Linked DNA regions of Struthio camelus. The main gene of each other region encodes a partner of the protein of the gene in region 3 in a complex. Links are inferred from orthologs where the notes say so. Each region holds a gene or a part of one and is shown on either strand. Other genes may lie near its edges. The genes, in order: SF3B5, SNRPD3, DHX16 and CRIPT.

Region 1 (5,968 bases), on a different chromosome or scaffold from region 3:
TTAAATTATTTTTGTAAGATAAATAAATATAGCAAAGAATAGAGGAATTTCTGAAAAAAATGACATCCCCCTCTTCTCCACCTTCTCATCTCCATCTTATCACACACATTCTGTGTGTATGTTGCATTTATATATGAAAATTATTCCATTCCCTTGTTTTGTGGTATTTATGCCTAAGTGTGAATAATGCGGTCTATTGAAGAAACAGGGTGTTATTCATGCCTACTACAGAAAGACTAGGGCAAAATTTAAAAACTCAGGTATATCTTGAAGTGGACAGTCACCATCACTCACTTTGTTGGTTCAGCTGCCTCACCACTATTTCCCTTAACTTTGCAGTAGCAGCCAAGCACTAACGTTTTAGAGGTAATTGAGTTCATGCAGGGTCCAATTCTGACATCCAGTGGCAACTGCTATTCATTGCATGCATCCAATCTCCTGTTTTCCCGAGCATTTGACGCTTGGTTTGAAATGATTTGGCTTTCATTTCCAGATAGAGTATTTCAGCATGTAAGTAAATACATTTATGAAATTTCCATATGTAAACATCAGTTGTTTCAGACACTAATTATTTATCAACATATAATGACTTCAGAGACCAAGACAAATACACAATATTTTGATAATTATATTTGATAATATTCAGTAGAAAAAACTTGAAATATCCTAGAATACTAAATTATTGAGAAATATTAAGCACACACGCTGGTTACATCTCAGTGATAATTCTCTCTATATCCCTCTACATCTATGCATGCATGCATACATACATATATCCCCCTACTCGGCCCTGTAATTTTCTAAGCTTCTGATCGTAAAAATGTAAGTACCTAGCTCCAGCAATCTGCTTTGCACAGGATCTGCCTAACAAGAAAACCATAGCCTTACAATAGATTTTATTTTTCGGTGGAAGAAGAAATGAAGATTAACTGAGTATAATTTAATGCAATCCTTCAAAACCAGGAGCTGAAACTCTGTATTTTTCACATGAAACTTACATTTAGGCAACTGCTTATATAGAATTTTAACTTGCCTGTTAACTAGTAATTTTATTATCTATTCTTTCTTCCTAGTGTTGGCTAGCTTGTCCTGTTTTCCAATGTGTTTTTGAACAAAGCCAACGTACTATGTAGTTTTTGCCCACTTTTTCCCAGGGTTCTAAATGTCTGAATTCAGTGTTCTGGTCTGGCCCACTATCAATCTTGCTGCAAACTTCAGGACGAAACTTCCCTTTTCGGATGTTTGTTTTGAACTAGAATTCTAACGTTTGCTTGGTTTAGTTTAACTATTACTTTTACAAACTCCTGCAGTAGCTGCAAGAAATGGACATGCTTCCGGGCATCTTTTCTATTCTGAAGACTGACTGATGATTTTAATCAATAAATCTCCCAGCTTAGAGCATCAAAGATGGCAATCGGAAAGGAACTCTGAGATCAGCCCTACGTGTCATTGTGTTGTCCCTGAATACCTATCAAAAGTTAGTGCCCCAATACAGCCCTGCTCTTTATAAAGGTACCATTTTACAAAGAAATGAAAGCTTTCCTATAGCCAGAAAATGTCCTTCTCTGTCCTTCCCTCAGCATCTGGCACATCCCTTCACTACAAAACAGGTTTCTCTCAAACATTCCAAAGTAGTTTATTCTAGCAAAATAAAACAACATTTTGCTTTTGCCTGACAAAGATCATCCCTATTCACCCTCCATAACCACATACACAGTCTCTGTGTATTAAACTGCAGTGTTTTAAACTGCAGTACTTGTAGGATTAAGGTTGAGGCTGTAATGAGAATGAAGACATTTTAAAACAAGTTGTAAACCACAAAATCATGTTAAAAAAATAAACATTTTTTGATGAAACTGGAGACTTTCAAATATTTGAAAGTTTGGAGCAGACTTCTGAAAGAGGAGCTATCTGCTCCTCTTAGGTAGTGGAGTCTCCTTCCCTGGAGATATTCAAAACCCGTCTGGATGTGATCCTGGGCAATATGCTCTAGAGGTCCCTGCCTGAGCAGGGAGGTTGGACTAGATGATCTCCAGAGGTCCCTTCCAACCTCAACGATTCTGTGATTCTGTGATTCTGCTACCTCTAAATGTAATTCTTTTCTCATGTATATTACATCATCTCTCTGAAGTCTTGATGAGTATCTGAATGGTTCAGTCTCTCTAGTTCTGTTGGTATCTTAAGTGCTTACTGCGCTTTCCACAGAATTCTTTCATTTGCTTAACCTCAGTTTTTCTTCAGGAAAATTAAACCAATTTGCTTCCTCTCAGCCCTGCTGTGTGCTAGCCTCTAAATGCATACCTCACTTCTTATTCTCTGTTACTTCAGTGAGTTACCTCCGTGATGCACTTTGATCTGTAAAATCTGGAAATCAAGTAAAGTTTGTCCTAATGTTGTCAAGCTCCCAAATCTGAAATGCCTCTGCATTTTCCTGCAGGAGATTTTTTTTTTCTCTTGGTCTCTCTGGAGGCAACTACAGAATACTATTGCTGTTTCCACGTGTGTAAAACTGCTTCCTGCTAAGTAAGCCTTGAGAACAATAACTCAGCAGATCCTAGTAAAGAAATTTATAGTCCTCATTTAGATCTTTGCACTCCCTTACACTTTAGGATATTGCTTTGAGACTGCTGTGTCCTTCATTTCATATGGTGCTCAATTTTAAATACAGGGTTTTGAATCGTCTAGGTTTTCATAAAACATTTCTTTGGATTTCCTTTGAAATCCAACTGGCAGGTGTAAAGGTGCCTACAAGGGCAGGAAGGAACAGATCACAAAATAGCCTGCCCTATTGGAAAATTTCTGACAACGTGCCTTTCCTATCTTAAGACAAGTAATTATAACTATTACTATCATATGAAAGCATATATAATTTCAGACATTTCAAATTTAACATTATGTGAACGCTTTAAGAGAGATGGAGAAGAAAAACTGCTTTTGATGGATAATATTTATTTCAAGCTGTAGTTTGACTAAGATAGACAATACCATTTGTAATTTCTGTATTTTTACATCTGCTTGTGAAGTGAATATTAAAGTATTACCTGTGCTGTCACAAAAATCTTGTTCAACAGCAGCACGTAATTTTGGCTTGAATCTACCCTCGACCCTGCTCAGCTGCAAAGCCTACCTGGGAAGAACTAGGCAAGAACTCTGCACTGCGCCAAGAAAATGGTGTGAAACCTATAGTAGTTTTTCTCAGTTCATGTAACAGAACTAACCTTACCAAACACTTATTTTGGGAGGACCCTCAAATTCTGTGCATTTTTAAAAGTCTTTCTCTATATGGAGTCCCTACATGAGACCTACCACAAAAAGTGCTGTGCTATGTTTTAATTGAGTAAAGAGCTAATGAAAAAGAGAGTTTTGGCTTGCTCTTGGCTCCTCATGGCTATTTTTGTTGTAGCTTGTCTCTTCCAAGTCAGTCTTCCTGTATCACTTGCTTAGAAAGCAAAAAAGAGATGCAATTTTACAGAGAGAAACTGTGCCCTACAGCACTAGCTTTAAGAACCACTTCACTGGTTTTGCTTTCCTGTTTCCTAAAGTCTCCTGACAAATAAAGACTTTCTAGTTTTGTTCCCAAAAACCTATTACTGAGATATTTTATAGTCAGATTTTATAGAGTTTTGCTTATCTGATTCTCCGATAGGTGAACTAAGGAATAACTACAATATCAAAGCTACGCAGCCTGGTATCTGGCTTGAGAATAGGAGATCCTCAAGCATGTATTTTCCAAACACTGATGTATTACAGATCTTGGCCTGGAGCTCTATAATTTGGCTTACTACTAGATTATTCAATTAAAGTAATTAAAACAGCAGTAAATGATTTCATTACACAGTGTATTAATATTTAATTATTTCAGAGGCTAAAATTTATCCCAGCTTTGACTAGAATTCTTCAAGGAATCTACCTAACCGAACATTTGTTGAAATTTGAGGCTTCAGTCATTCCCTTTAAGTGATACGCTATTACACCAGGTAGCTAATGGCTCGATGGATTTCAGATAACTTTAGGAGACTTTTTAACTCCCTCACCACCTCAGGGCTTGCCTTGCCTTCTGCTGCTTAATTTAGATTCCAGGGAGTAAACTAAGAAGCTCTGCAAAACCCTCTCCTTTTCCTCCCTTATTTAAATGCTTCCGCTACGAAAGCAACTTTACCGCTCGAATTTCTGCACGTATCTGACGCAGTATTGACGCCCAAATGCACGCGATATTCATTCACTACTGCCCGGAGGGGTTATCAGCCCGTGCAGCCAGCCCGCTGGGAAACCACCGCACTGCCGCAGGCGCCGCTCCGCCGCCTCCGAGGGCCGCCGGGCCGCGCCGGGCTCCGCCCCGCCCCGCCCCGCCGCCGGGCCCGCCCCGCTGCCGCCGCCCCGTGCGGGCGGGGACCCGGCGCACTACAGCTCCCAGCATGCCTTGGCGGGCGTGCGCACGCGCACTTCCTTCCGTCGGTAGGCGCCCTCCCATCATGCCCCGCGGCACGAAAGTAAATAGCTAGCTGGAGGGTTTTTTTTTTCCCCCCCCCTGCTTAAAGCAAACGCTAGAGTAAGAAATGAACGCTTGAGACTCAAAGAGTAAGCTAAAAAAGTAGCTTTTCTCCTGTAGTGAGGGAGAGCGGAAGGGGTAAAGGGCGCGAGGGAACGTCACTTCCGCTCGCCATTTCGCGCTGCGGGGAGGCTCGGGGCTCGCTGCGTTCTTGCCGCCGGTGCCGCCATGACGGACCGTTACACCATCCACAGCCAGCTGGAGCACCTGCAGTCCAAGTACATCGGGACGGGCCATGCCGACACCACGAAGTGGGAGTGGCTGGTGAACCAGCACCGGGACTCGTACTGCTCCTACATGGGCCACTTCGACCTGCTCAACTACTTCGCCATCGCCGAGAACGAGAGCAAGGCGCGCGTGCGCTTCAACCTCATGGAGAAGATGCTGCAGCCCTGCGGGCCGCCTGCCGACAAGCCCGACGAGTCTTAACCCGCCCCACCAGGCTCCCTGCCCTGGGGTCGGCCGCCGCCTGGCCCCGGGGAGGAGGGGAGCGGGGTCGGCGGAGGCCCCGAGGCACCGCGCGGTGGGTGCGCCTTCGCCGGAGCGAGCGGGAGGTGCGTGAAGGCCCTTCCCTTTTTGCGGGGTGCGGTAGGTCTCCGAGCAAGACTCCGCTGAAATCTCTTGCCTGTGAACTATGAGAACGAGGCCGGCACCGCTGAACTGTGATTGCTCCTGTGGAGAGAGACCGTAGGAGCTGCTCCTGTAACCGCCTCTCAGTGCAGTGGGGAACGCATGGGTCTCCTGTCCTTCAGTGCTCGTGGTCCTTTTGTGTCCTTATTATGTTGCATCAAAGGACTTTCACAGGGACCGCTTTTGTAACATGTCTACTTTTGGACAGCTTCATTTCTCTTAATTGTATAACTTTTTTTTTTTAATGTGGAATTAAAACGTACTGGGCATTTTTAATGTTTCGTCTGCTAATATGCTGATTAGAATTAGATCTCTTGTTTGAAAGGCAGTGCTTATTGATATGTTAAATATTTCCATGCAACCTTTCTTAATCTAAGTTTTAGATATTCTAAAGGTAGCATTTTCCTCAGCCTAGTTGGCTGATACCTGCTTACCAAAACAGTTTTAGGGAGGGTTGGGGGAAGCTTGCTGGCACTCAAAAGGCTTGACTTGTAATTAGCATTTATTATTTAGAGTGATTTGTTGCACAACATAAGATGATTGCTCCAGTGCCCTAAAACTCCAAAATGTCTTTGCTTTAAATAACTTTTTTACATTATCTTCTCATCTGTGCTTTGAATTTTCCAAATCTTGAATATCTCTGTTCCAAATTACTGTTGCTTTTTTACTAATGCTATCTAGGCCTCTAGTGCTAAAAACTTCTCTTAAGAGTACACTAATCAAGTGTGTGAATGTGGATGCTGAGCCCTGTAAACATGGACTAGGTGATGAGGCCAGGGACAAACTAAA
Region 2 (6,859 bases), on a different chromosome or scaffold from region 3:
AAAGTTCAGAAGGTGATTTACCACAAAAAAAAAAAAAAAAGCGTTCTGTGAGAAGAACCAGGACGAATTGTTACACAGTCTTGCACTTGAAACACAGTATATACAGAGATGAGAATGAACTATTAATACATTCTGTGTTCATTCCAATCTGACGCACAAATCTCTACCACAGGAGATTTCTATCATGGTAGAGTTGCTGTGCCAGAGATTTCACTGATGTTTAAAACCTCACACTAAGATTTTGCAACAGAACTCAATATGTTCCAGCAGGTGTTACTCCCCCACGCACACTCACTACACTTGCTAAAGTTAACGAAGGACTTTGCAGCCCACGAGTATTACTCAAACTTGTTATAACTACACTGCTCACATAAGAGAAGTGCTAATGAGGGAGAACTGTAGAGTGGCTAGTAGTTACAACTTCCCAAGTATTATCTTAATATCTGAATCATTTTTTCCACAAAAGCTTAAGAAGAACACTTAGCTCCTTTTCCAAGTGGTCCAAACAGCCAGTGACCACATTCACTGAAAAACACCAAAATGAAGATGAATGTAAAGCCTCAGTATAACTCTACCAGGACTACTTGCTACGTGTAAATTATCTTCACATATCAGTATTGCTCATTTTGATAATTGGGAAATTTGAGTCTTGACACCCACTGAAGAAAAAATACATAGGAGGAAAAAAAACCCCAACAATATATGAACCACTAATCATTCTGCTTATGTTGTTTGTTTCCTCAATGATATAGGTGAACATTTTCCTGTTCCTCCATAGCAAAACGCTAAAGGCAAGGAAGGAGGGAGGTCCACAAACAAGGAGTACCCACCTTGAGCTTTGAGAATAGCTGCTTTTCCTCGCCCAGCACCAGAACCCTGGTTTTTATTCTTCATGCTCTTTAACATAGGAGCATTCTTCAACATATCTGGTAAAATGAGAAACCGTATCTTGCTACCTCTGATGTACACCTGTTCAAGCTGTGCCACTCGTCCATCTCTGTACGTCACTGTTATGTTGGACATCTGGAAGGTAAAAGATCAGTCAGTGCTTACAGAGGCCTCCAACACAATTCAGTATTCCCGTTTCTCTTGCTTTCACTATTCTGACTCAGACTCCTCCGAGTAAAAACTATCTGGGTCAAGTACTAGTCGTTTCAACAGAAAGCCTTTCTAGGTCCGTTTTGAGATTTTTAGAGCCAATGGAAGCTTTTCAGAAGTTGCAGCAAGTTGACAGGCTTGCATCAGCAGAATACCAACTACGCAGGCACAAAAAAAACCAAAAGCACATTAACCATGATTATTCTAATAAAAAAGACACTACTGTACATGCAATTTTTATCTCACTTGTGTTTGTATGCTTCTTTGTTACACAATCAGAGTAAGTTACATCTGATTTTCTTTGGCTAATCACAATATACAGTATGCAACTGATTTAGAGGAATACACATAAGCAAAATACAGCAACAGAGCAGAAAAATTGCATAGTTTACTTACAAAACAGTGCAAACAAACACAGAGCCAAGATTCAAGTACCAAAGCCAAGAACCTTCCAAGTACTGTCATCTTGACTGGCATTGTGACACAAGGTATCCAGGACCTTTCGCACATAATGCTAAGCCTATTAGTCAAGCAGGCCCAGCGTTTTTATCTTCACCCCAGTATGAGCCAGAACAAACTCTTAGAAAAACACAACTCAGTTCTGTTTTCTCACATTAAGTCACTTTTAAAAAAGCTTTACTTGTTCAAATAAAAATGCTTCCTTAATACTTAAGACAACATGATTTCTATCCAAAGTCAACCAAAATTAAGCCCGCTTGGGATGCCTGAAGTCATGTGCATTAAAAAAAACACAAAAAACCCCTTCAGTTTCCTCAAATAAGGGTTTGTTTAATCTTAAGCCCAGAGCAATAAAATGAAAGACTCCAGTAGAAACACTGTCCATAGAACAAAGTCTTAAAAAACCCTAATGCTATTGACAAGACTTCCCAGGCCTGCTTTAAACCCTAAAAGAACAAACTCTGCGCTCTTTAGAGCATTCAGCAATCCTGAGTCCACTTCACTACAACGTAGGCATGCAGCAGCAGGGTTTTTTTTTTTTTTAATCCTTAGACTAAAAATAATAGTCTTTAAATCAAAACACAAATAAGCTAGCTATCAACCTTTCCTGGCACAGACGAGACAGCCTCCCTTCCCTCCACCAGAGGCAGCTATACCTGACAGTTCATGTTGTCTTCAGCTTCGATAAGCTTGCCCCGATAGACTTCTCCTGTGTTGGTCTCACATGTGACGATGTGGCCTTCCGCCTCGTGCAGGACTTTGATGGGCACGCCGATCGACATGTCTGCAGAGCTGCGGCTCTACCCCTGGGACAAGGAAAAGCAAAGGAAACGGTCTTTGAAATTAGGTTCTCCCTACATTACCTATGATCTTTTCAAGCGTAAGAAACGGGGGGGGGGGGGGGGGAAGGGGGGTTCCCCCTTGCCCAGAAACACCACAAGTTTTGATGAAACGTTAACAAAGCTCCTCTAGAAAGAGGGCTATGGGAAAAAAAAAAATCACTTAAATATCAGTGGAAGTGGCTGCCTACGGGTTCCCTGCTAGGAAAGGGAAAGGAAACCCGCTCCCCAGCTGGAGGACACCGAACCGCCGGCGCAGGCAGGGGCGGCGGCGGCACCGGGGCCGCTCGCAAGCGCGGCCCGGCGGCAGCAGCGCGGCAGCCGGGCCGGGCCGGGCCCACGGGTCCCGCGCCAGGGCAGCGGGCACTACCACGAGGGGGGAAGGAGGCGGCCCGGGCCCGGACGGCGCCCCGGGCCCGCGGCCTCGTCGCCAGCCATAGCCAAGAGGCCCCGGGGCCGGCCCGGCGCCCACCACCACTCACCGCCCGCAACCGCCTCAAGCCGGGCCCGCGCGCAGCCCCTAATGGCCTCCTCCAGCTTCCCGCCGTGCCCCGCGCGCCGGAAGCGGAAAGCGGCGCTCGCCGGGAGGCTCCTCCCCGTCCCGTCCGGCCCGCCCCGCCCCGCCCCGCCCCGGCAGGGCAGGCGGCGCCTCCGGCGCGCGGGGCCGGCCGGGCCGCGGCGCCCCGGCACGACGGTTCCGCCGCCGCCCGCGCCCGCAGAGGGGCCGCCGCCGCCGCGGGCGCTGCCCGCCCGGCGAGCCGCGCCGAGCCGCGCCGCGCCATGCCCCCGCCGCCCGGCCGCAGCCGGCCCCGCCGCGGCGAGGGCGCGGCGCCCCGGGGCCCGGCCCCCCGCCCCCGCAGCCCCCGCCCCCGGCGCCGGGGCCGGGCGGAGCCAGCGCGGCGCCGAGGCACGGCGGGCCCCTGGGCCGGGCCGGCTCGGCGGGGCCGGCAGCGAGCGGGCGGGCGGCGGGTGCCGCCGCCGTCGCCGCCATGAAGAGCCCGCGGGAGGCCGGGGAGCCGCTGCCAGGTCAGTGCGCCCCTGCTGCCCCGAGGCCCGGCCGCCCCCCGCGCCCACCCCGGCCCCGGCGGGGCGCTGAGCGCGGGCGGCGGAGCGGGAGCGGGAGCGGGAGCCGGGGCCTCGCGCGCTGGCGGCGGCGCTGGCGGGGCGGCCGGAGGCGCGGAGCCGGCGGGGCGGCCGCGGGCGGGGGCGCGGGCGGCCGCCTCGGGGCAGCGGGGAGGCCCCGCCGGGAGAGGCCGCGGGGCCGGGAGCTGGACACCCGGGAGAACTGGAAAAGCACGAGCCGTTGTCGGTCTGTGAAGTCATCAGGCAGAAAACAGCGTTACTTCTTAAATTAACCTGGGGAGCTGGCAGAGGCCCTAGGTAGGAACGAAGAGGGAACTGACTCATGACACGCCGGGAAGAACCAACAATAAAGATTTAAAGAGGGTAGTCCGAGGAGGATCTGGGACTTTTTGTTTTCCCTTTAGGAGACTTACGTAAGAGCACCTTAATCTAGATTAACAAAGACAACTGAATATACCAGCAGGTATACCTGGTCTTCGAAGTCACGATTAAACACGGGCACAACTACGAAAAAATATTTTTGAAGAGTCCAAAATATCTATATTGGCTTGTGCCTACTGTAGGCTATAGCTTTGTTAGGAAATAATACAAAATTATTGTTACGAATGACATTACTTATAAAGTTTTACAAATAAAATTTTATCAAAACTAGACCAGTCCACATGATGTGGAATGCATTTTTATCTTCATGCCGAAGTGTAGTTGACCTTGTGTTAACAGCTTTCAAAGGTCTTTTCTAGTCAAAAGTGAAGGGATTGAGAAAAGCCCTTTAAGACTAGCTTACTCTGATTAAGGTTGAAATAACAGTAACACCTGCAAAAACACTAAGTCATTCAAATTCAAACGATAATGGGTCTTCTGAGACTGAAACCATCACACTTGCCCCAAGCCTATAAAAATGAAAAATGAGGAAGAAAGATGGAATTATGGACTTTCCAGTAGAGATTTTTCTTCTTTCTTTTTCTGAAACCTTGAGAGAATATAACACGAAAGGCCAACTAGTGTCATTTGTAAGGTTCGGTAACTTAAAATTACTCACATAAATTATAGTCCCTGAGGAAAAAAGACACATCTGTAGAAAAGGCTCAGCTCTGTGGGGCTTGTGAGAGAGAGGTGGCTGGAGGAGATCTTTGTTGTGTCTGTTTTATCACAGTCTGGCTGAACACCTTTTGTGGCACAGAAGTACATTCAGAGACTGTTTTGGACACATGACAAAGGATGAATAGCTGTGCCTTATCTACTGCTAGTTAGGAGGGGATACAGCTTTGTAACTAGGGGCTGGTGGATGTGTCACCACCACAAAAAAGAATAAAATACTGCACAGTGATCCAAATATGTAACAATAATATGACATTAAACCAGACACGTGAGGGTTAACTCTACAGAAATACCAAACAAACCTACATCCCCTTAGGAAAAAGGACCTGCCAATCAGGTAAAATAAAAAATGTTCCTAAGTTTCCCCCACTATAGTGCTGAGTGTACCTGCAAGACAGCAAATTGGCTTTGAATGCTGAGGTACGGAAAAACATGTATATGCGGGTTGACATCCTCCATGTTTTACTAAGTGTTGTTTTCACTGCAGTTGACTGCATCCAGTTGAAAGTGCCAGTCATCCAGCAGCTGTACCACTGGGACTGTGGGCTAGCCTGCTCCAGGATGGTACTACAGTAAGTAACTTTTTTGGCTTCAAGGGGTTGGAAATCCCATCCCATGGGAAGTCGGAAATCAATGTCCAGGGAGAAAGGATATGTGGAAGCAGCTGTGAATTTAACTTCAGTATCGTGAGAGCATATAGTCTCAAGTACCTTTGGAGGATTACTGCTGCCAGGGTCTAGCACAGCTCTCCAGCAAGAGCAAGGGAAAATACAAACTAGGACAAATTTTAAGACTTTTTAAATGATTAACTGCTTTGATTGATGCAAAATATCTGACTAGCACTAAGATCTTTGCAGGTTAGCATGCTTAAGCTAGTAAAAGTTATCCCTCTTTTCTGTTATAATTTGGAACTAGCTTTTACCACAGCAATTCTCTTACTTCCATTCTGCGTGTTTTCAAGTGGCTGGTAGGTTTATCCCGTATTTATGAATATATATTGCCCCTGTCCTGTTGAGCCCCCACTCTGTAGGGTGAAGGGTTTCTGTTCCAGGAGTAGTTTCAACTTCAAGGCTATGCACTGTATTGCCCTTTTTTTTTTTTTTTTCTTTAAACTAGTAGCTGTCCTGCTGAACTCCTCTTTCCTTCCACAGAGGAACATGAGCTTAGGTGCAGGAGAAATACCTATTTAGATGTCCACTTAGTAGATATGAAGCAGAAGATTTTCATTTCTCTCCATCCCTACTGCCAAGACGTTAGTCCGTGTGCTGGTAATTTCCCATCTTGACTACTGTAACCTCTGCCTCTTCATTCCCTTTACCCTCGTTGCCATTCCAGTCTGCCCAAAACTCAGCTTTCAAGATTAATCTTCTTACCCTGCTGATCTGACCTTGTTTGCCCTGCTTCCTCAGTTCCAGTCTTTTTCTTTTTTGCATTTATTTCCATCTGTTTTCTGACTTCCAGAATTCTCTGTAACTGCCTCTCCCTAGCCCTTTTGCAACCTGACCTAAGCTTCCTCCTAACCTTATCTGCCCTTTGCACCATCAGTGCCTAAGAAAATTCCTTTGACTATTTATCAACTGCCTTTACAGTTCCTACTTTTGAAATCCACCTGTTCTGTGAAGCAAGTTTTAGTCTTTAACGCTCCTGTGCTTGCTGTTATGTTGCTATGTATATTCAGACTGTAACCCCTTCAGAATAGAGTTCTGCCCTTGCTCACTATAGCTTACCTATTGTACAGCATCCTGTATACTTTTAGCACTATAAAACAATTGAGATACCTGTACATTTCCAATAAAAAAGTCAACAATAAAGCCAGTTAAATATTCCTTATTCCCTTCCCTTCCTTTAATTTTGGGCTCATTTGTGGGTTGCTTTTTGGTTATTTCTTAGCCAGTCCCGTTGTTTCAGTTCTTCCGTCCTGTGATGTGGAGTCTTGGGCTACTGCGCACACTTTGCTTCTCCTAAGATCTGTGTTTCCCTTCCCCTACCTTTTCTAATACCCTAGGTACCTGAATCATTTGGACAATGATGAATTTCAGAAAGCGATCCAGGAACTCCGGTTAACAAAGAGTATCTGGACCATTGACCTGGCTTACCTTATGCGACACTTTGGTGTTAAGCATAAATTTTGCACCCAGACACTTGGCGTGGACAAGGGCTACAAAAACCAGGTTAGCATTCCTATTCACTGGGAAACAGCACGCAGTGTTAAAAGTGAGCCCTGTGTATCATGCTATAAAAGCTTTGCTGTGTTACTGAGCATTAACCACAGTTGCTGTAAA
Region 3 (7,789 bases):
CAAATCCCCACCAGGGATGCCTAATCCCACCCAAGGACTCCCAAATCCCATCCAGGGACCTCCAGGAGCCAGGCAGGGACACCAAATCCCAGCTGGGGACCCCCAGGAGTCCACCAAGGACCCCAGATCGTACATAGGTCTTCCCCAGTCCAATCCAAAGACCCCCAGGAGCCCAGCAGAGACTCCAGATCCCATCCGCAACCCTCATACCCCACCCAAAGACCTCCAGGAGCCAGATAGGGCCTCCAAACCCCATCCAGGGCCCCCAGATCCCATCCAGAAGCCTTCAAGAACCTGGTGAGGACCTCAAATCCCACCCAAGGCCCCCAAATCCCAACCAGAGCCCCCAGATCCCATCCCGGAGCCTCTAGGAACCTGGCAAGGACCTCAAATCCCAACCAGGTCTCTCAAAACCCAACCAAATCCCCCAAATCCCATCCAAGAGCCTCCAGGAACCTGGTAAGGACCTCAAATCCCACCCAGGTCCCTCAAACCCCACCCAAGGACCCCAAATCCCATTCAGGAAACTCCCCACAAACCTGGCAAGGACTCCCAATCCCCCCAGGGACCCAAAATCCTCCACCAGGGACATCAAATCCTCCCCAAGAGACCCCCAACGTTCCCCACTAACGATGCCAATCCACCCCCAGGACCCCCCAAAAAACCCCGCCGGGCACCTTGGCGTCGGGGCGGGCGAGGACGGTGCGCGTGCGGTCGCGGTCGCGGCGGCGCAGGCGCTCGGCGAAGGCGTCGCGCTCCTCCAGGTCCCGCAGGCGCTCCCGCTCCGACGCCTCCCATTCGGCCTCCGGCTCCTCGGGGGGCTCCGGCGGCCTGCAGTGAGGTGGGGGGGGGGACCCCGAAAAAAACGGTGGAGGAGAGACCCCAAAGCGTGGTGGCGTGCAAAAATAAGGGAGAGCCCCCAAAATAAGAGAAGGGTGAGGGGCTGAGAAATTGGGGGCTGCTGGGACACGGGTGGGAGGGGGCTGTGAGAGTCTGGGGGGGGCCAAAATCAAACAGGGGACCCCAAAAAATGTAGGGGACCCCAAGAGCGAGGTGGGATGCCCAAAACTGGTGGGGGGGGGTCTTGAAAGCCAGGGGCAACCCCAAGGGCGAGAGGGGGGACCCTGAGAGCTGGAGGAAGCCCAAGGGTGAGGGGAGGGGGACCCCAAAACTTGGGGAGGGTCCTGAGAGCAGTGGGAGCACCCCAGTGGGGGGGGGGGGTCCCTGAAATTGGGTGGGGGGGAGCCAAAAAATGAGGGAGGACCCCAAGGATCAGGGGAGCTCCCAAAAATCAGGGGCCCCCAAGAGCCAGGGGGACCCCAAGAGCCAGGGGGACCCCCCCAAGAGCTGGGGGGGGGACTGTGAAATGGGTGATACCCCCCCAAAAGGGTCCGGGGGGGTGGGGGGTCCCCAAAAATGGGGGGAAGGGAGGGCTACTCACGGCGGCGGCGGCGGGGACGGGCTGGCCGACTCCGGGGAGTCGGGGCGGCGGCGGCGGAGGTGGCGGCGGCGGCGGTTTGGGGGGGACGGCGGGGCGGGGCCGGGTGAGGGGGCGGGGCCGGGGCCATGGCCGCCGCCCCGCTGGTCCTTGTCCTCGTCCTCGTCGTCGCTCTCGAGGAGCCGGTAGCCCTGGTTGCGGCGCTGCAGCTCCCGGGCCGCCCGCTCGGCCGCTCGGCCCGGCGGCTCCGGCCGCGGCTCCCGGGGCACCTGGAAGAGAAGAGGGGGCGGGGCGAGGTTAAGCCACACCCCTTTGCCTTGGCCCCGCCCCCAGCTTGGCCTGGCCCCGCCCCCCTCCCTGCCTTCACCCCCTTCCCCTCGGTCCCGCCCGGCCGCCGCTTTGGCCCAATCCACTCCCCCCCCTCTAGCTCCTCCCACCCCTGACATGCCACACCCCCTCCCCTTGCTGGCCCCGCCCCTTCCCGGGGGGGCCCGCCTCCCTCCCCAGGGAGCTGGGTGCTGCAAGCCCCGCCTCCTCTCTTCCCATTGGCTCCCACCTCTGCCAGCTCGGCCCCCTCCCCTTCATTCTGGCCCCACCCCCTCCCTTCTCATTGGCTCCTCCAGTGCCAGCACTGCCCCCATCCTGGCCCCGCCCCCTCCCTTCTCATTGGCTCCTCCAGTGCCAGCACTGCCCCCATCCTGGCACCACCCCCCCTCTTTTCTCATTGGTTCCTCTAGTGTCAGTCCCGCCCCCTCCTAATCCTGGCCCCGCCCCCTCCCTTCTCATTGGCTCCTCCAGTGCCAGTAGTGCCCCTCACCCTGGCCCCACCCCCCTGTTTTCTCATTGGCTCCCTGATGACAGCCCCACCCCCTCCCATCCTGACCCCACCCCCTCTCACATCCTGGCCCCGCCTCCCTCTTTTCTCATTGGCTCCCTGATGACAGCCCCCACCCCTTCCCCATCTTGGCCCCACCCCCGTTTTCTCATTGGCTCCCTGATGACAGCCCCCGCCCCTCCCACCCTGACCCCCACCCCCTCTCACATCCTGGCCCCGCCCCCCTGTTTTCTCATTGGCTCCCTGATGACAGCCCCCGCCCCCTCCCATCCTGAGCCCACCCCCTCTCCCATTCTGGCCCCGCCCTCTTTTCTCATTGGCTCCCTGATGACAGCCCCCGCCCCCTCCCCATCTTGGCCCCGCCCCCTCACCAATCCTGACTCCGCCCCCTCCCCGGGGGGAGGAGCCGAGCGCCACCAGCCCCGCCCTCCCTCTTCTCATTGGCTCCCGCCTTGCATCAGCCCCGCCCCCTCGTGGAGGCCCCGCCCACCTTCTCCCACAGCTGCCGGGCGAAAGCGCGCACGCGCGGCTCCTCCACGCGCAGCGCCTCGGTCTCGCGCAGGCGCTCGAGCAGCTCGTCGAGGCTGCGGCTGCGCCGCGCCAGCGCCACCAGGAAGGCGGGTACGTGGCGGGCGCTGAGGCCCAGCAGCGCCTGCAGCTCCGCCGCCACCCAGCGCTCCAGCCCCGCCGCCGCCGCCATGGCCCCCGCCGGCCGCCGTACGCCGCCTCGCCCCGCCTCCCGCCGCGCTCTGCGCAGGCGCAGTCCGCCGCCCCGCCTCCCGCCGCGCTCTGCGCAGGCGCCGCCTCCCTCAGCCCCGCCTCCCGCCGCGCTCTGCGCAGGCGCCGCCTCCCTCAGCTCCGCCTCCCGCCTCGCTCTGCGCAGGCGCCGCCCCTCTCAGCCCGCCTCCCGCCGCCTCCCCTCAGTACCGCCCCCCCCAACCTCAGGCCGCCGTAATGTCCCGTGTAGCCGCGCCGCTCCCCCCCCCCCCCAACCCCGGCGTTCCCCGCGGCCGTTTCTCACCTCCCGCCTCTTTATCCCCCCTCCCAACGCTCCCCAGCTCGGGACCCCCCCCGCCCCTTCCCGCCAAACACACACGCACGCTCCGCCAGCTCGCTATTGGGCTGCACGCCCACACGGGGATTTACGGGACGGCGGCCATTTTCCTCCCCCGCGGCCCCCCCCCCCAAACCCGCTCGCACCGGCTCACGCAGTGCAGGTCGCCATTTTGTTTTATTGTCGCTCTTCCCGTTACAGCGCGTCAAAGTCGGCGGCCCCGCCCCGGTCGCCATGGCGACGGGACACGCCGAGGGCTGCGTCGCCATGGCGACGAGACAAGCCCAGGGCTGTGTCACCATGGCGACGTGACAAGCCCAGGACTCTGTTGTCAGGGTGACAGGACAGGCCCAGGGCTGCGTTGCAATGGCGACGGGAGCAGGCCCAGGGCTGCGTCTCCATGGCAACAAGAACAGGCCCAGGGCTGCGTCGCCACGGTGACAAGACAGGCCCAGGGCTGCGTCACCACGGTGACAAGACAGGCCCAGGGCTGCGTCGCCATGGCGATGACAGAGGCCCAGGGCTGCGTCGCCATGGCAACAGGAGCAGGCCCAGGGCTGCGTTGCCACGGTGACAAGACAGGCCCAGGGCTGCGTCGCCATGGCGACAGGAGCAGGCCCAGGGCTGCGGCCTAGGCCTCCTCCCCGCTGTCATGGCCGCCGGCCCCACGCCCGGCCCCACTCTCCTCTGCTGCCCCCGACAGGAAGTCCCGCCTCTCCACCCCCACAGCCCCGCCCACAGATCCCGAAGCCCCGCCCCCTGCCTTTAGCCCCACCCCCCAGCTAATACTGCCTTGGCTGTGCGCCCCCCCCCCCCGCCAAAACCCAGCTGCAACTGGACCCATCCCAGTTCCTAACTGGGACAGCTGCCGGCGGCCCAATACTGACAAATTTGACCCCCCCCCCAGCTAAAAAAACAAAAAAAAATCCTTAATTAGGTAAAAAAAAACCTCGTTAAGGAACATCCCCCCCCAGCTGCTAGAAAAAGCTACAAAATGGGGGGGGGGGGTAAAGCTGTGCCCCCCCCCACACCCAAACACCCCCCCCGCTCCAGGGACCAGGGTGGGGGGGGGAACAGCGTCCTCGTGCCCCCCCCCGCTGCCGCCCCCCCCCGTCCTGCCCCACCGGGGGGGGGGTGGGTCACGGTTCGGGTCCGGCCCCCACTTCGCCGGGGGGGTCCCAGCCCCCCCAGCCCCCGGGTTACCGCCGGCAGGACTCGTCTGGTGGGGGGGGAAACGGGGGGGGGTGTCAGGACCCTGGCGGCCAAGACCCCCCTGCACCCATGCTCTGTCCCCCACCCAACCCCTATTGCCCCCCCAGGACCCCTACTGTTCCTCCCAGGACCCCTATTGCCCCCCCAAGGCCCTTATTGTCCCTCCAAGGCCCCTATTCCCCCCCCAGGACCCCAATTGCCCCTACCCGGACCCCTATCGCCCCCCCCCAAGGCCCTTATTACCCCCCTCAGGACCCCTATTCCCCCCCAGGGCCCCCATTGCCCCCCACAAGGCCCTTATTGCCCCCCCAGACCGCTATTCCCCCCCCCAAGACCCCAATTGCCCCTACCCGGACCCCTATTGCCCCTCCAAGGCCCTTATTGCCCCCCCAGGATCCCTATTGCCCCCCATAAGGCCCTTATTGCCCCCTCCAAGCCCTTACTGCCACCCCAAGGACCCCTATTGCCCCCCCAGGACCCCCATTGCCCCCCACAAGGCCCTTATTGCCCCCCAGGACCCCTATCACCCTCTCCAAGGCCCTTATTATCCCCTCAAGGACCCCTATTCTCCCCCCCAGGACCCCAATTGCCCCTACCTGGACCCCTATTGCCCCCCCAAGGCCGTTATTGCCCCCCCCCAGGACCCCTATTGCCCCCCATTAGGCCCTTATTCCCCCTCCAGGACCCCAATTGCCCCTACTCAGACCCCTATTGCCCCCCCAAGGCCCTTATTGCCCCCCCAGGACCCCTATTGCCCCCCATAAGGCCCCTATTGCCCCCCCAGGACCTCTACTCCCCCCCCCCAGGACCCATGGGTCCACCCCCCCCCCACCCGGGGGGACCCAGGTGTCCGGGGTGGGGGGAACCACTCACCGACGAGCAGGGTGCGGGCGCGCAGCCCCCCAGGCAGCCCGCGGCCCGGGGGGGGCTCGTCGTCCTCGTCGTCGTCGTCGGGTGCCGGGGGGGGGCCCGGGGCGGGCGGCTCCTCGGGGGGCCCCCAGGCCGCCATGGCCGCCCCCTCCGAGGGGTAGCAGAAGGTGCGCTCCAGCTCCCGCTCGCTGAACCAGATCTTCAGCTGCCCGGGGTGGGGGGGAACATGGGGGGGGTGACGTGGGGGTGGGGGCACCGCGGGCGGGGGGACATCATGGGGGGTGGCATGGGGAGACCCCGGGCACAGGGACACTGTGGGGACATCTCGGGGGGTGGCATGTGGACATCATGGGCATGGAGGCACCATGGGGACATCTCAGGGGGTGGCATGGGGACACCATGGGGACATCTCCAGGGGGTGGCATGGGGACACCATGGGCATGGAGACACCATGGGGACATCTCCAGGGGGTGGCATGGGGACACCATGGGGACATCTCCAGGGGGTGGCATGGGGACACCATGGGCATGGAAACACCTTGGGGACATCTCAGGGGACACCATGGGGACACCCTGGGGATGGGGACATCCTAGGGATGGAGACACCATGGGGACGAGACACTATGGGGATGGAGGCACCGTGGGGACATCTTGAGGGTGGCATGGGGACACCCTGGGGATGGAGACACCATGGGGACGAGACACTATGGGGATGGAGGCACCGTGGGGACATCTTGAGGGTGGCATGGGGACACCCTGGGGATGGAGACACCATGGGGACAAGACACTATGGGGATGGAGACACTGTGGGGACATCTTGAGGGTGGCATGGGGACACCCTGGGGATGGAGACACCATGGGGACAAGACACTATGGGGATGGAGGCACTGTGGGGACATCTTGAGGGTGGCATGGGGACACCCTGGGCACAGAGACACCATGGGGATGGGGGGGGGACACACCGGGCACAGGGACACCATGGGGACACCCTGGGGATGGAGACACCATGGGGGCATCTTGGGGGTGGCATGAGGACCCCCCAGGCACGGGGACGCTGCCGGCAAGGTGACAACGTGATGCCCCCAGTGTCCCCCCCCCCATCCCGGACCACGGCCTGGGGTTCCCATAGCAATTAATCCACCTCCCTGGCTTAATCGCAATTAACGGGAGCCTATTAACGAGCGGGGGAGGGGGTCACGCGGCCCCGACGAGTGCAGGGTGGTGGGGGAGGGGCGGGGAAGCAGGGGGCCCAGGCGTCCGGGCAGCCCCGCCCACCCCCCCCCGCAGGAACCGCTTCCTGCCCCCCTTCCCCCCCCAAGTTCCTGTTTTCGGGGCACCCCAGAGGATTCTGGGTGCTATGGGGGGGGAGCAGGGTGCCCCCCCCCTCACCCCGCTCCACCCGCCCCACGGCTGCAGAGGGGCCCAGGCGTCCGGCCCCAACCCCCCCCCCCCCCAACTCCACTCCAACCACCCGGCTGCGGCGTGGGGCGAGGGGCCCAGGCGTCCGGGCCGGGTAACGGCCACCAGCTTCCTCCGGGCGGGCGGGAGCCGGGAACGGAAGCGGCGGCGAGGGCCCAGGCGTCCGGGTGCCCAACCTCCCCCCTCCCCGGCCCTGCTCTCACCCCCCCCCTTCAAGCTGAGGGGACCCAGGCATCTGGGGGTGGGACGGGGGGGGGAAGGGATGGTGGAAAGGGATGGGGACAAGGATGGGGGTCCAGAAGGTGACGGGGTCGAGGGATGAGGTCCAGGAGGTGACAGGGGACAAGGGACAAGGATGGGGGTCCAGGAAGTGAGGACGAGGGATGAGGTCCAGCAGGTGACAGGGGACAAGGATGGGGGTCCAGCAGGTGAGGACGAGGGATGAGGTCCAGCAGGTGACAGGGGATGAGGGATGAGGTCCAGGAGGTGACAGGGGACAAGGATGGGGGTCCAGGAGGTGACAGGGTCGAGGGATGAGGTCCAGGAGGTGACAGGGGACAAGGGACAAGGATGGGGGTCCAGGAGGTGAGGACGAGGGATGAGGTCCAGCAGGTGACAGGGGACAAGGATGGGGGTCCAGCAGGTGAGGACGAGGGATGAGGTCCAGCAGGTGACAGGGGATGAGGGATGAGGTCCAGGAGGTGACAGGGGACAAAGATGGGGGTCCAGGAGGTGATGGGGTTGAGGGATGAGGTCCAGGAGGTGACAGGGGACAAGGGACAAGGATTGGGGTCCAGGAGGTGAGGACGAGGGATGAGGTCCAGCAGGTGACAGGGGATGAGGGATGAGGTCCAGGAGGTGACAGGGGACGAGGGGACAAGGATTGGGGTCCAGGAGGTGAGGACGAGGGATGAGGTCCAGCAGGTGACAGGGGATGAGGGATGAGGTCCAGGAGGTGACAG
Region 4 (7,951 bases), on a different chromosome or scaffold from region 3:
CTCATTCATACTGTCAAATGAAAAACTATAAAATTATTTTTTAAAAGAGCTGTTTGCTACAACGCATAAAAAAACCTACAGCATTTATTTCTAGTCTATTTTCATGCAGACACTAGTCTAAGTAAACACCATTATACTAAATAAGCATTTTATTTGGATAACACTACATAGCTCTCTAGGAAATACGTGCAAGCTGTCACAGCAAAAATGTCAAAACAAGACAACTTCTACTTTCTATGCCATAATTACATTGAAGTAACACTAAGATTCAGACTAGGAAAGAAATAAATTGACATGTATTCAAAATCTAACTGGGCACAAAGGGACACTGCTGTCAAACATTTGTTACTTATTTCCAGATGCAAAATTCCAGACAGGACTAAGTGAATCAATAAGAATTTCTTTTGGCTAAAAGACTCAATGTCGTAATTAAATTCTTACAAGGTGTCACTTCTGTTACTCTATTCACTCCTTAAACTGAAAATAAAAAACTAGCATAACTGACTTGAGCGAGCACTCAACACATTTTTCCGTAAGCTGAAAACTGATATACTACCAAGGCCAACACATTAAGCTATTATAAAAAGACTATTTTTGGCCTTCTTTATACAAGTTGAAATCCGAAGTAACTCCTTAGGTCAGCAGGATTTTACAACTTTTTACTTTCATTGAGATTAGATTTCACTCTTGGGACACATTACAACGACACTAATACTAACATCATATTATTAGAACCTCAAGCAAACGCGGGGCTTTTTTTATGTTTCAGAGTCCCAGTGTTTCAACAGTCCTGTTATCTCTGCTGCCTTTTTTCACCCATTAGATAGAATACTTCTGAAAAATGCATTATCCTTGATATGTGCCTATATTATGGCTTTCACCAACTAAAAAAGGCTCATTTTACTTTAAACATACTCTTAAAAAAAAAAATGCTAGAAAATTGACACCGAAAACAGCTTTTTCAGAAATTTGAAAAAGAGTATGGATAAGGATTACATGCTTAAGACCGCAGAAAATTACATATTATTTTTACAATTATATTCAGGTTAAAGATAACACCAGAATAATGTTTGTTTTGTCTTGCTATTTCTACTTTAAAAGCTGCGCTTATGAGGATACTCTCAGATCATGTGCAGTCATGCTCCCTTCAGCGTTTACTCACAGATCTCTTCTGTATTTGACAGTTATCATACTAGCATGCACAACGGTTTGACAACAGTCAAATAGCGCATTTGAAGGTTTTTGTCTTTCAAATGCAAATAAAGAAAGATTTAAACTCTGGCCACCAGAAATAAAAAGCCAGTTTTTTAAATCAGTTACACCTTCAAAATAGATAATAGTTTTCTTTGCCAGAAAAACTTTCACAAGCCCTTAATTATGAAAGTGAAAATGACCCATAATTCAGGATGTTTTATTTGCTTTACAAGAAACTCCATGATATATTGTTTATGACAACTCTATTTCTATTATGGGAAAAAAATGGAGAAAATTTAAAGTAGAACTTACCCATTTTTACTAAATACCCGTATCCATGCTTGAATGTTTGGTCCCAGCACACACAAGCATTGTAAAGTAGTAAAAGTAGATAGCAGAACTGCAAACAAAAATGTCTCAGTCACTGACCTACAAAGAAGGAACACAATAAAATTAACTGAGGCACAATTGGTGATTTTCTAAGAGTTCCAAGAACTAGGAAAAAAACTCAAAATCATCTAGAAAGCATGCATTTTTCTTAAATTCATGTAAAGAAAAAAAAAGTTTTTCTTCTTACTCTGTAGAAGAGAAAAGAAAGATGGAAAGAATTCTAACATCCATTCGTTACCTCAACAAAATCTGAAATGTAGCAGCTTATTTTAAATGTCCGATACCTGTAACATTTTAACAAATACAGCGATATCTTACACAGAAGGTTACTACTTTCTAACTGAAGTACACTTGGATATTTACTTTATCATTCCATTTATCTTTCTAGTTTGACTTAGTGGAAGCAACCATGAAACCAAGCCACATGATGTCACCGCTATTCAGTAATTTAGCGCCTCTCAAAAATCAGTTAGGAGAGATGTGAGGCAGCCTTTTGGGTTTTTTTTTGTTTTTTTTTTTTTTTCCAAACCACCCTTAACAATTAAAATACTAATATGAAAAGGATGAAAGCTATAGGAGATGCACGTTTCAGAAACTTAATGGAAAAATGACTAAATGAAACATGGAAAATGTTTGCAACCATATATATGACATACAAGTATAAAATATGTCTATATTTGTACATCTCCAAATATATAGAAATTTTAAGGGCTAGCTTCTACGAAAAATAGCCACTCTTCGCCCAGCCAGGAGGTTATCCTTTAACTCCCAATGTACCAGGAAATACTCAAGTACTTATACCAATATCTGCAAGAAGAACTGCCACTTAAAGAGTTTAGAGGAAAAAAGGTTCTTCCGACTTACTCTATGAGAGGTGCTCCATAAAGAACAATAATCGCATGAAATAGTATGCAAGACATGAAAAAGTACATACAGCATTTTAGAAATCTGGATATCTAAAAAAGAGCAATAACATATCAGAATAATGTTTCAAAAGAAAAGAGAACAATGAGCAATGTATATAGTCAATATCTTATCAGTAGCATCTCACTGTACCCACTTCCTTAGATATTTAATTTCAACTATAGCACAGTATGATTATACGCTCCTGTATTTCCAGACCGCTTTCCCTATGTTTAATACTTCAAATCATTAATTAAAAAACATAACATGAACACACTCCAATCTAAAAATCTTTTCATATATCATACTATTATACAAACATACAAAAAATAACTGGAAATAACAAGATAAATGGAAAAAGTTCTAGGGCATGTTTTTATGTTTACGTGTTACATTTCAGCATTATACCCATTTGTTAAAAAGCATCTTTCGCAGAACGTGCAAAAATATTTAGGAAGATGCAATATACATACATGATATTCAGAATGAAATATAGTATTTAAAACTACATGACATAAAACGTATTGCATTTTGAAACTGCCATCTTAAAATCTAAATCCATTTGAGAAACATCCATGACCTTCTAAACCTACAAAACGCATATAGTTTTCTATGAATCAAAGCAACAGTTTCTGGGTACCCACTATTATATCAAAATAGAGCCACTTGATAAAGTGTCACAGTTTCACCTGAACACTTTTTTTTTTTTTTGGGGGGGGGGGGGAGGGAGGGAAGGGAGAGATATTCCTGTGCTAGTTGGGATGAAACCTCACCTAAAACTTGAAGCCTGCTTTGTTTTTTAAATTATATATGGTTAAAATGCTTGTTTTCCATGATTTAGTGGATTTCATGCCCTGCTCTGTCAGTAAAAGTAGATAGAAGTTTCATAGGAAAAGTTACTGCTTTCAAGGATGTTTAGCTTGCACAACTATTTAAGAACGACCGTTTAAGAGCATTAAATTTTGTCTGACTCAGCAAGTTGGGAGGACAAGACTATCCAGCTGACTTGTGAATGCCTTTCTATTCCACCACTCCCAGGGAAGTTGGGTGCCGCTCCAAATTTGCTCTGTTCAGAGGTATTTTCTTGGAATTCATATCTTTAATGCTTCTGTTACAAATGTTAACTATAAAAATTTATCACAGATTTAAATTCTTCTGTGTGCAGATGTATTCGTTCAAGGAAAGGTAGTCACTTCAGTGCTTTTCCACCTCATCTTCTAAAATCTACCAACTTAGTTTAAAATTTAATGAGCTCTTTGTTTTCTTTTTCATCAGTCAAAAGTTTAAGAAAAGTTTTTCTTCCTTTAGAATTATTAGTAACTTCTAACTACTCAGAAGAAAAGTGTCTTTTCATAACACTGGGATTCAGGCCCAGATTATGAAATGAGTTCTGTACCCATTCAGGGATTCGCCCTGATTTTTGCCAGCAGGTAAGCTCTTGGAGGATCAAGGACGCCACAGTATACAAGCCACAGTATACTGACACGAAAAGGCAAGGAATCACTCACCTGAACAGACTATTTACAGGTAGAGAAAATTTAACACTGTGAAAATATCAGAAAACTTACTTCTCAGCTCATTCATGGAAAACAAGATTTCACCACCTAAAATTGTAACTTGCTTTCTCTTTCACGCTTGACTATTTCAGTAAAAGAATTCAACCTCCCATCAGTACTGCCTGGTAGCAATTTAAGAATAAAAATCTTACCTTGTGAGCAAATGAACTTCTCTTAGGAGACAGATTTGGTTTAAGGATTAAATATAAGATTATATTAAGGGCACTAATGGAAACAGAACAAACGCACAGCCAGGTGAGGTGCGTTCCCAAAACCGAGAAGTTGTCCAGGAAGAAGGCTGGGACGGTTGTTGTTAGAATAACTGAAAAAACACAGAGCAGGTTGGCAGCTAGGAGCCTCTTTATTTCTGCTTCTTTCATTGTGTTCTCTGTTAACCAGTCACCTGCAAGAAAGCAAGCTGTGCTTAGTTACTGAAAGACAGCCAGAAGCACTAGCCAGCAGTATTTTTCCCTAGCTGAAACACACAAGGCAAAACTCTGAACTTAGTTTGGGGCCGAAGAGGATTACTTTGTGGCAGAAGTTTCATTCGTTCATTTAAAAAAAAAAAGGGGGGGGGGGAACACGCAGCAATGCTGTCCTTCAACAGGCTGCCCACATTCAAAAGCTGGGCGGGCTGCGGGCTCGCCCGCCCCGGGCACCCCTCCTGCGCGGCCCGAAGCGGCACGTCTCAGGCCACGGCTCCCGCAGCAGCAGCCGCCCCCAGCTCTCCCCCGCGGGCCGCCCCGCCGCCCCGCGCCGGACCGGGCCGGGCCTGGGCCGCCTCACCCCGCCGCGCTCGGCAGCCGCGAGCCCAACGGTCGGGGGGGGGGAGGGGAAGGAGAGAAGACATGGGAGCCCGTTGGGGCGGCCCTAGGGAGCCGAGGAGCGCGAGCCGCGCCCGCTCTTACCGGCGCGTCGCCCCGCCGCGGCGCAACGGAAGACCCGGCGGGCGCGTCACGTCCGGGGGGCGGGGCCGGAAGCGGCCGTTTGTTGTGGTCGGGGTCCGCCATGGTGTGCGAGAAGTGTGAGCGGGGCCGGGGCCGGGGCCGGGGCCGGGGCCGGGGCCGGGGCCGGGGCCGGGGGGGGTCACTCGGTCGGTCGGTGGGTCGCGGGGCGGTGGCTGGGCCGCCGGCAGGCGGGGCTGGTTGCCGGCGTTAACGCAAACCAACTTGAGCTTTTTCCCTCCGCGCGCGTGTTTCCTCACGTAGGCGAGAAAAAACTGGGCACGGTAATTACTCCTGATACGTGGAAGGATGGCGCAAGGAACACCACAGGTACTTCTGCTTTCCGGGGGGCTTTAACGCTTCTCGTTCAGATGTCTTAAAGCCCCTTGGGCACCTGTATCGTCGTTCAATTCTAAGGCTGAGGATTGTAATAGCTGTTCTGTTGGGTTTGTTTTTAACTGTTGTAGTTTCCTTAGCGTGCTAATTCCATCCTCTGGGCGTTTACTTGCCCTGAACTTTTCAGGGCTGGATCTGTCTGGGTTCTCCCCCGACCCATGTGGAGTGACGATACCCAAGCAGAAGATAATGTAAGGGGTTCTGTCGTCCTGTGCTTTAGTCCTGTGTTATACGCTGTGCTTTTCTTTCTGATTTCATTTACAGAAGTGTAAAACTTCTAAGCTAAGCTTTTTCCCAAACCTGATCGAAACTGGGAAATCTACCATCTTTATTTTTCTTTCTGTAGAAAGTGGGGGCCGAAAACTGAATGAAAACAAGGCTTTGACTTCAAAGAAGGCAAGGTTAGTATTTAATCCTGATTTTGATTGTCTAAAAAGGTCATTTTCCTGTAACCAGGACCTGTTTCCTGCACAACTGGGCAGCTTCTCAAACCATGTCCAAAATGGACTTTGTTTTTAAAATTCTTAATGGGGGTTGCGGCATGCTATTAGTTGGTAACAGTATGTTTGTACATATTTCATGGGTGCTTTCTGCTGAATCAAAAATATATTTCAGTGCTCACTAAAACTGAGTGTTAAGTTTGATATTCGTATTAGAAGAGAAGCTGGAAAGACGTACTCTCTTGCTAAGACCACCTGTACGGTCTCTTCAGCGTATTTAATATTTGCAGGCCCTTTTATTACCTTCTGCAAGGTTTATTTTATCCTCTGTAGAGAGGGCAAGCCATTGCTGGAAGACATTTAGTTCAAAATAGTCTAGCATCTTAATGAAAAGGCACGTTGTGTTTTCATAATGCAGGAAACCTCTCTTTGTAAGGTAGCGAGGGGTCTTTCTGTAGACTTTGAGTGCAACCTGTTTGAAACAATCTTTGTATGTCCCTTTTCTAAATCATAGTTTCTGTTTGTGGTCTCTGGCTTAGACTTTTTAGGATGAGGTAGCGGAACTACTTTACTTCGTGGTGTATAAATACAGTATATTTCCTTTCTCTCTTTCCTCAGGTTTGATCCTTATGGAAAGAACAAATTTGCAATATGTCGGATTTGTAAGAGTTCTGTCCATCAGCCAGGGTCTCACTACTGTCAAGGATGTGCCTATAAAAAAGGTGAGATTCACTGGATACTGAGTTAGCCCAGTTTGGTTTGAAAGTAGTGAGCAAACGCAACTCAGGGTTTGTTTGGCCTTACAATGAGAAGGCTAAGGGGAGATCTAATTGCTATCTCCAGCTACTAATGGGAGGGTGTAGAGAAGTTGAAGGTAGCTTTTCTCTGAGGTGCACAGTGATAGAATAAGAGACAGTGGACAGAAGTGAGAATGGAGGAGATTTAAATGAAACATAAGGAAAAAACTTTCACTGTGAGGGTGGTCAGATATTGCAACATGGACTCAGGTTGTTTTCTACAAAAGTAGAAAACCTGGGAAATAAAAGGCAAAGAGACAAACAGATGCTGTTGTAAAAAGAGCTAATAAAGTGCCTTTCAAGGCAAACGGGCTTCTTGCATTGTGAGAGAAGCTTGGCTTAAGTTGCAACTGAAAATCAAAAAGTAAGAATAAAACCTTTATGTTTAGAAAGCAAGATATTGCCCAGTGTAGTATATAACATACAAAATCTTTCTGTACTTCTAAATCATGTATGAACAGCTGCACTGAAATTCTGCTTCTGTCTTGAGGTTTTCAGTCTCCTGTATTCACAACAAGCCTTTAGGGTTGTTGAAAATTGTTTTTTGTTTTCTCAATGAACTGTTGAACAATTTCAAGCAACTGTGAGGTAAAAGTTGAGCCTTAAGGATATACAACTTTTACCAGTCTTGTGAATTTGAGTAGGTAAGCAAAATGGAGGCCTAAGCTTGTAATTGCCTGAGGAAAAAGCAGCAGCATATGAACTCAGTTATATTACTAATTTTGGAAAATCCACACAGCACAGACATGGGCTAAACCAATTGTTAGCTGTAGAGGCACATCTAGTCGGTATGAGTTTAAATGTTGTTTATGAAATGACATTAATTCTTTCACAACTGGGCGGCGCGTCAGTGGTTTAGCAGCCTGCCGTAGAGCTGCTATTTTTTCTGTTTTCTGGGTGCTCACCAGGTGGCTGCCAGAATCCCACATGAGGGAACCTTATGCTTTCTTAAATTTATAGTTGATTTGGGTGAGCTTGAGGACTTTTTTGTCTGCTCGTGTACCTTTCCAGGTAGAAATGGATTTCTTCATAAAAGACGGAGCTTCAGCTGCTTTAAGTTCTAGCTCTGACCATCAAAGAGAATGGATATGGCATGTTTCTTGAAACAGGTGTGGTCGTATGGATTAGTGCTTCAGTTGCTGCGCGTCTCTGAAAGCTAGAGACTATTCAATGTTCCAAAGTTAACTACGCCTCTACTTAGACCTGGGGTGAACAGCCTGTGGGATGGATTTTGCACTCTAGAGTAAATCATGTGGTATTTTCCCTGCTGTTGTCTGTCCTAATAGACTCTTAGATGAGTGTCCAGTATCATGATGTCAATATATGAAAGC

The links.
Region 1: DHX16 (region 3) and SF3B5 share a complex: the UniProt entries of both Homo sapiens proteins name them as parts of the minor spliceosome. The link is inferred for Struthio camelus from reciprocal best matches to the Homo sapiens genes DHX16 and SF3B5.
Region 2: DHX16 (region 3) and SNRPD3 share a complex: the UniProt entries of both Homo sapiens proteins name them as parts of the minor spliceosome. The link is inferred for Struthio camelus from reciprocal best matches to the Homo sapiens genes DHX16 and SNRPD3.
Region 4: DHX16 (region 3) and CRIPT share a complex: the UniProt entries of both Homo sapiens proteins name them as parts of the minor spliceosome. The link is inferred for Struthio camelus from reciprocal best matches to the Homo sapiens genes DHX16 and CRIPT.

The regions. Positions count from the first base shown.
Region 1 is NC_090944.1:84,749,032-84,754,999, forward strand, and holds SF3B5 (splicing factor 3B subunit 5), read left to right. Parts: upstream 1-4,479; 5' UTR 4,480-4,717; coding exon 4,718-4,978; 3' UTR 4,979-5,455; downstream 5,456-5,968. UniProt on the Homo sapiens protein: Component of the 17S U2 SnRNP complex of the spliceosome, a large ribonucleoprotein complex that removes introns from transcribed pre-mRNAs.
Region 2 is NC_090958.1:8,969,201-8,976,059, reverse strand, and holds the start of SNRPD3 (small nuclear ribonucleoprotein Sm D3), read right to left. Parts: upstream 3,019-6,859; 5' UTR 2,879-3,018; intron 2,364-2,878; 5' UTR 2,340-2,363; coding exon 2,214-2,339; intron 1,024-2,213; coding exon 831-1,023; intron 1-830. Other genes in the region: protein GUCD1, read left to right, coding at 3,386-3,422, 5,065-5,149, 6,583-6,748. UniProt on the Homo sapiens protein: Plays a role in pre-mRNA splicing as a core component of the spliceosomal U1, U2, U4 and U5 small nuclear ribonucleoproteins (snRNPs), the building blocks of the spliceosome.
Region 3 is NC_090977.1:685,535-693,323, reverse strand, and holds the start of DHX16 (pre-mRNA-splicing factor ATP-dependent RNA helicase DHX16), read right to left. Parts: upstream 3,005-7,789; 5' UTR 2,974-3,004; coding exon 2,764-2,973; intron 1,708-2,763; coding exon 1,442-1,707; intron 832-1,441; coding exon 678-831; intron 1-677. Other genes in the region: PPP1R18 (phostensin), read right to left, coding at 4,527-4,546, 5,413-5,614. UniProt on the Homo sapiens protein: Required for pre-mRNA splicing as a component of the spliceosome. Contributes to pre-mRNA splicing after spliceosome formation and prior to the first transesterification reaction.
Region 4 is NC_090944.1:108,650,838-108,658,788, reverse strand, and holds the start of CRIPT (cysteine-rich PDZ-binding protein), read left to right. Parts: upstream 1-4,936; 5' UTR 4,937-5,051; coding exon 5,052-5,067; intron 5,068-5,251; coding exon 5,252-5,317; intron 5,318-5,729; coding exon 5,730-5,784; intron 5,785-6,441; coding exon 6,442-6,545; intron 6,546-7,951. Other genes in the region: PIGF (phosphatidylinositol-glycan biosynthesis class F protein), read right to left, coding at 1,507-1,623, 2,449-2,540, 4,196-4,446, 4,830-4,893. UniProt on the Homo sapiens protein: As a component of the minor spliceosome, involved in the splicing of U12-type introns in pre-mRNAs. Involved in the cytoskeletal anchoring of DLG4 in excitatory synapses.